2 linked regions of the Danio rerio genome follow. The protein of the gene in region 1 interacts with the protein of each later gene in a biochemical or structural test. Links are inferred from orthologs where the notes say so. Each region holds a gene or a part of one and is shown on either strand. Other genes may lie near its edges.

What was found.
Region 2: of the proteins of pias4a (region 1) and top2a, one has a biochemical effect on the other in vitro, tested with the Homo sapiens proteins (2 studies listed by BioGRID). The link is inferred for Danio rerio from reciprocal best matches to the Homo sapiens genes PIAS4 and TOP2A.

What each region holds. Positions count from the first base shown.
Region 1 is NC_133197.1:20,264,325-20,268,152, forward strand, and holds part of pias4a (E3 SUMO-protein ligase PIAS4-A), read right to left. Parts: intron 1,130-3,828; coding exon 1,088-1,129; intron 999-1,087; coding exon 908-998; intron 749-907; coding exon 620-748; intron 531-619; coding exon 425-530; intron 1-424.
Region 2 is NC_133187.1:11,266,634-11,270,461, forward strand, and holds part of top2a (DNA topoisomerase 2-alpha), read left to right. Parts: coding exon 1-48; intron 49-1,383; coding exon 1,384-1,485; intron 1,486-1,580; coding exon 1,581-1,718; intron 1,719-2,635; coding exon 2,636-2,774; intron 2,775-2,857; coding exon 2,858-3,015; intron 3,016-3,828. UniProt on the Homo sapiens protein: Key decatenating enzyme that alters DNA topology by binding to two double-stranded DNA molecules, generating a double-stranded break in one of the strands, passing the intact strand through the broken strand, and religating the broken strand.

The sequences.
Region 1 (3,828 bases):
CTCCCTCTTGTGGTTTTAAATCTTCAAGACTTTCTTCTGTTCAACACAAAAGAAGATTTCCTGAAAATGACAATTTCATTCTGAGGTGAACTATCCATTTAACCTTTATATTAATTTATCCTTTACTAAACCTGTTAGCAAAGTTTTTATGTAATCCATGTTTCAATCTGTCATAAAAACAAGTTTCAAAAATGACATTTATGCCACTATATTCCAATAAATCGAAGTTAAAGAAAAATGTTGGAATTAGATTAAAGACAAAACACCTTAAGACTTGTTAACCTAAAAATCATTTAATAGATTAATAACATTAAGTGTCTGTCCAAAGGTGCAATAGATAGGTGTTTGAGTTCTAAAAAAATTGTAACTCTTATTTAACCTCTGATGATGAAACAATATATTATATCAAGGCAATAAAACATACTTCTTTCACGACAACGATCAGGATTTTCCACTGAACAATGCTTCAGCTGGTTGAAGAGCTCTCCAGATGTGAACACTCTCACTAGGTACACTGCCACTGAGTATCGCTTCAAAAAAACAAAACAATAAAAACACCACAGTCAGCAACAGCGCAAGCATCTAAACACAAATGTGAATAATCAACACATCTTCATACCTTCCCAAAGTTTCCCCATGTGATGGTAACTCTGTTAGTGACTGTGGAGAGGTGTAACCAGGGTGTGATGTTGACAGGTCGACAGGGCCGCCGCGGCTCCACACCCGGTTTATTAGAGGGATAGTAACCCTGAACCAAAATAAACACATTTACAGCAAAACATTTTGAATGCGATTATGAGAAATGCTAAAAACAAAAGTTATTTATATAAAGAGTTCAGATTTACGATCATCCAAATCTGTAAAACATTCCTCTCTCTTACAGCCTAATCAGATTCACAACACTTACCGGTACATGACAGTAGGACTGATTCACTTTCACAGCAATATTGGGAGGATACTGGTCCTCCTGAACGCCGATAGAGTCTGTGTAGCAAATTCTGGGAGAAGAAAAGAGCATGTTAGTGTGCAGTAAATGCCTCTGACACTAAAAGTTGATTTACCGGTAGGATTTTGCCAAATTATTTACCTGAGAACGACCTGAACTGATTTCATCCCTGGCCGTAGTTCACTGTACACATAAAACAAATGGTTGAGTGCAAACGTGTTTTCATTTGTCATAAATACACAATTCCTTATTACATAAAGTGCACATTAATTTATTTACAAATGAAGAATTTGCATGCTTGCTCAATTAGTTTATTTGTAATTCAATATCCCAAAATGTGCATATAGAGTGGTGTGAAAGTGTTTTCCCCTTACTGATTTCTTTGCATGTTTGTCACACTTGTGTTTGATTAAACTTAAATTTTACACAAAGATAACAAACAAATGAAGGTTTTCAATAATTATTATAGGGAAAACTAAATATAAAATTACATAGCCCTGTGTGAAAAAAGCGTTTGCCTCATGAACCTAATAAATTGGCAGCAACAACTGCAATTAGGCATTGTTGATAACCTGTTAAGAGTGCTGAGGAGGAAATCTGGCCTGCTCATCTTAACAGAATAGCAGTAATATAGCCATATTCGAAAGGTTTGAGCATGAACCGCCTTTTTAAAAATCATGCCACAGCATCTCAATTGAATTCAGGTCAGGATAGGGCTGTGCAATTAATCGAAAAGCCGGTTACGATTATGATTATGAAAAAAACATTAATCGAGATGAACAATTGTTGCATCATATGCCGCCCCGTTTTCAGTTGTATACATTTGTTGCTCTGCAAAGCTCAGCTTTACATGAAAATGACTAAAAGCATGTGCTTTAAGTTAACATTTGCATGACCAAAACAACAGTTCAGATGTTTTACAATGTGCTCAGCCTGCTGGTTTGTTCATTCACACATTTTTATCATCACATGATCTCTTGTAATAAAATTACATGACTTTTTTTTTTTTAACGCGCATTAACATCGTTCACTGACATACATTCGAATCATGTTTTTAAAAGCGCGAACGAGACCGCATCGGTCAGCATTTGCACACTGAGAAGAGCAGAGCGCACACATCTAAAATCATCTTAACGAGAGCGCTTTCAATGGTCAACTAGGTGTCAAAACGCGGTGTTTAGTGATTATTCACATTAACCCTCATTTGTGTAATAAACAAACGAGTTAAGAATCAAAAGACAAGTGAAAGAGAAACCATTAAAGTTACAGCGAGCAATATTCCTGCTGCCGCCTGTTTTTATCATTATTAATCAAACAACAAAAGGAGATAATCACTCACTGCTCTTGACTGAAGGACTTTTGTAGCTAAAGTGTTTTTCTGACTGAAGATGCTTAAAGCACAGATTGTTTCATATTTTTATTCAATTGTATTTTTTTTTTTATTATTCTTTCCTAGCAGAGAGGAAAGTTAAAGTTGAAGTCAGAATTATTAGCCCACCTGAATTATTAGCGACCCTTTCCCCCCAATTTTTGTTAAATGGAAAGAAAATCCTTTTTTTAAAACCCATTTCTAAACATAATAGTTTAAATAACTCATTTCTAATGACCAATTTATTTTATCTTTGCTCTGATGACAGTACATTAAATTTTATTGGATATTTTTCAAAATACAAGCATTTAGATTCAAAATGTAATTCAAAGACTTAATTAGGGTAATTAGGCAAGTCATTGTATAACAGTTTCTTCTGCAGACAATCAAAAATATATATTGCTTAAGGGGGCTAATAATATTGACCTTAACATAGGTTAAATAATATTTAAACCTGCTTTTATTCAAGCTAAAATAAAACAAATAAGCCTTTCTCCAGACGAAAAAAAATATTAAAAGGTAATACTGTTAAAATTCCTTGCTCTGTTAAACATATTTTCTGAAATATTCATTCAAAATAAAATTCACAGGAGGGCAAATAATTTTGACTTAAACTGATAATTGTTTTAAATAATTGTGATTACAATTATGACCAAAATAATCGTAATTATGATTTTCCCTAAAATCAAGCAGCCCTAGGTCAAGACTTTGACTAGGCCAACCCAAAGTCTTTTTGTTATTCATTCAGCCATTCAGAAGTGGACTTGCTGGTGTACTTTGGATCATTATTACAGGAAGTCTTCCAGGACCTGAAGCATCTAAATAGGCCCAGACAATCACACAGCCACCACATTTTACAGTTGTGCTTTTTCTGAATTGCGTTGTTACTTTTATGATACACATAATGTGACAAACATTCCTAAAAAATTTCAACTTTTGTCTCTTAAATCCATAAAGTATTTTCCCAGAAGTTTAGGAGATAATGAAGATGTTTTCTGGCAAAACTAAGACAAGCCTTTATGATGTTTTTGTTTAGCAGTGGTTTTCATATTGGAATTTAACCGTGCAAACTATTTTTGCCAAATCTCTTTCTTATGGTGGAGTCATGAACACTATCTGAGGCCAGCAGTTCTTTGGATATTGTTATGGGATCTTTTGTGACCTCTTGATTATCTCTGTGCTATTGGGGTAATTTTGGTCTGCCGTACACTCCTGAGAAGATTCTCCTCTGTTTCATGTTTTTGCCATTTGCAGATTCACTGTGGTTCAATGTAGTCCCAAAGCCTTAGAAATGCCTTCATAACCTTTTCCAGGCTTATAGATCTCCATTTTCTTACTCATTTGTTTTTTGAATTTCTGCATGATGTCTAGCTTTTGATGATCTTTTGGTCTACTTCTATTCATGTTAAGTTATTATGTTTTAAAAGGGGTAAACACTTTTTCACACAGGGCATATACATGATATCTATCTACCTTTATAATTTTTAATGCATTTCACTAGCACTTATTAAAA
Region 2 (3,828 bases), on another chromosome or scaffold:
AAAGGGTTCCAGCAAGTCAGCTTTGTTAACAGCATCGCCACAACTAAGGTAATCATAGTGTCTGTGGGGTCTTAAAAAGTATTAAAAGTTGATCAATAATGAGAAAATTAAGGCTTTTAAAAGGTGTTAAAGTCTTAATCAGGTTTTAATGAGGTCTTAAATTTTGTTCAAGCGTTGTCTAAAGTGTTTAACTCCAAAAAAGCATAAATGTATTCATTTTCCTTGATCCTTGCAATTGGTTTGAGCCAAGGCACGTTTAGCCAAGCTCCTCCATTCGGGTGACGTCATGTAATTTGCGGCAAACATGGAAAGGTGACGTGACACTTTCCACATATAGCGAACCCATAGAGTGGAACAGATAGCAAAATGGGAAAATGTAAGTTTGAGTACTTCTGATTTGAGAAAGATGGGTTTAAACAGTGGCTGAAGCCTGTCGCCAACAAAACAATCACGTTTGTTTCTTCCAGGCTTCTCTGAGTTTTGTTACACGGTTGTGCTTCATTGATTTATTGAACTACAACTGTTTATTAATATCTGTTTATTAAGGTCAAAGTTTAATATGGATTAGGACTTAGTGGCAATGAAGTCTTAATATATTCTAAGAAGGTCTTTAAAAAGTCTTAAAAAGGTATTAAAATTAACTTAAGGATTGCTGCATATACCCTGGTAATGTATTCAGATGAATAAACAGCCTTTTCAAAACTGTTCAAAAATGTTTTTTTAATAAATCTTCAATCAAACAGATGCGTCACATATTCTAAACCAGATCTATTGATTATTTAATGTCTACAAAATATAATGTAGTGTGTAAAGTTTTTTTGAATTCTTTTATTTGCTAGCAGTGGTTGGAAGGGAGGGATTTTAGCGTATCTTGCCTAAGCTGTCAATCATCTGACAAGAAATGCCATTATAAAGTGAAAGCAAATGTGTAGAATATGTATAAGATAATGTAAGTTGTATAAAGTTAGCTTTTTTTTGTAGATTTGGTGACTTTAATTTAAAAATGTATTAACATAAATAATAATTGGGTAAGCTAAAAGTGTCTGTAGTGTATATGTGTGAATGAGGGTATGAGTGTTTCCCAACGATGGGTTGCAGCTGGAAGGGCATTCACTGCGTAAAAACATGCTGGATAAGTTAGTGGTTCATTCCGCTGTGGCGACTCCAGATTATTAAAGGGACAAGCTGAAAAAAAAATGAATAAATGAATTAACATAAATATTTAATAAGGTACATGCATACAGTAAAGTTTCGTTGTGACAAACCAAGTCAATTTTCATTTTAAAAAGTCAAAAGCCAAGTTTCTTTCAGTTCAGTTTTAAAGCAGCCCTACACAAATCGTTTTTCAGCTTCATTTGGTCATTAAAATGCTGTGTGTTTCAGGGTGGCAGACACACAGACTATGTTGCAGATCAGATTGTGTCCAAACTGATTGAAGTAGTGAAAAAGAAGAACAAGGCTGGAGTAGCCGTCAAACCTTTCCAGGTACATTCAGATGTTCTGCAAACTGCATCAAATAGTATTGCCTTCTCATGGCATTCTAAATTAATCACCATGTGCTGGTTTAACTTTGTGTGCAGGTCAAGAACCATATGTGGTTGTTTGTGAACTGTCTGATAGAGAACCCCAGCTTTGACTCCCAGACGAAAGAGAATATGACCTTGCAGCAGAAGAATTTTGGTTCTGCCTGCTCTCTGAGTGACAAGTTTGTTAAGCAGGTAAGAACTGATTTCTCGATCATTCATTGCTGTAAAAAATCATGGCATAATGGGTGAGAGTTTAGAGTTAATATAAATATGTTAGACGTATTTTACTGGTTAGTGCATGTTACTTGAGTTTTTTCAACACATTATTACCATAAAACAAAGAGAATGGGATTTACATGCAAAACAAACTTGACAAAATTACCCTTAATGTTAGAAAAGATTTCAACAAATTCTCCAACCAGTGGAACCAGTGGTTTCTCCCACATGCTCTTATTTGTAAAATCATTTTAACTATCAAGCATGTTTTATTTGAGTGTGTTGGCTTTACTTCAGTGAGGAAGGTATTTCATTTAGTTCATTTATTTGAAGTATACATTTTTAGCAACTTTTATAGTTTTAGCAAAAATAGTGTAAAACCTTAATGTAATCAACAACTCCAGCATACTTTTTCTCACCATAAAAATGGCCATGGAAGGTGAAGTGGTGTTTTAACATAACAAATCTTACCATCAATCTCTTAATAGCCTATTAGTTATATATTTAACAACCCAAAAACCTTAATACTGTTGTGTTTTGTTTCTCACTTAATGTATTCACTTTATATTGCAATGCATTAACAATTAATTGCAATTTAATTACTCAACTTTGTATCACTAAATCAGGGTTTTGCTAATGGTGGTTAAAGATATGTTTAAGTTGCAGTCAATTTGTCAACAGTGAAGTCATGACTTAAAATCAGAAAGACTTTCATTTGATCAGCTCAATAAATTTGTAATACTTGAATATGTCAAATATGTGTAGAACTTTTTTTGCTCTGCCACAAATCTTCCAGTTATGATTCCTGTATGACTGCCCTTGGATTTTGACTACTGTTAGTGCAATTGAACTTTTAAAGCTCTAATAAAATCCTAATCCATCTATGTCTGCAGGCTAATGGGTGTGGAATTGTGGAAAGCATTATGAACTGGGTGAAGTTTAAAGCCCAGGCTCAGCTCAATAAGAAATGCTCAGCTGTCAAACACACGAAGATTAAAGGAGTACCTAAGCTGGATGATGCCAACGATGCAGGTAACAAGAGGTTTGTTGTAATGTTAAATGGTCACGACACCTTCAGCCTGGATGTTCATTGCCGGGTGCTTTGTTTGTTTTAGGTGGAAAGAACTCCAATAGCTGCACTCTAATCCTGACCGAAGGAGACTCGGCCAAAACTCTGGCCGTGTCGGGTCTGGGTGTTGTGGGACGTGATCGATATGGTGTCTTCCCTCTGCGTGGTAAAATGCTCAACGTTCGAGAAGCTTCACACAAACAGGTCAATGACTAAAAATTAATCACTTTCATTTTTAGTTACATACCCCACAAAAGTTATTGAGAGAGAGAGCAAGAAAAAGAGGGGTTCCTTTCAGAAGAATTCCTCCATATGCCCTAATCCCTTTGTAGGATCCCTTTTGAAGGAACTGGAGCCCTTCCAAATTTAATGCAGTGTGCGACTCTAAACAACTTCCCTCCTCAAAGAATCATGTGGGCCAATGTATCTATCAGTTGTATTTTTCAAAAACACCAAATCCAGCACTTAGAAGTGGCCATTTTTGAGCACTTCAGTTTTGAACGACATTTCGGAGGGGTAATTCTATCGCCTTTTGGATGGCACTGTTTGTAAAACACTCATGCCATCAGGCTCACTTCGCTTATGGCTCTCTTACGCCACCCCTACACTATTCACCGATGCCAAGCTGACCAATTACAGATCTTACGCTACATGTCTCTTTGTGTACTTAATTTTTTGAGAGATGTGGCATAACGTATGGCTAAGGGTGTGCGATTGTTTAAAGATTGCGCTTCACTCTGTGCAGAACTATGAATTAGCCTTAAGCAGTGTACCATGGTCTTTTACTTAGCAAATTATAAATTTGAGACCAGCAATAATCAAACTGTCTATAATAATGTCGAATTAGACATTCTAGGTTGGCTCAATTGTATTTACTCAATAACGAAGCACCACCTAAATGTAATTACTGCCAGACTGCTCTTACCCTGAAACATATTTTGTTGGAATATGGAAGTTTGAATACCATTAGACAAACTTGTATAAGGAAAGTACTTTGGACATTTTATAAAGGTGCCA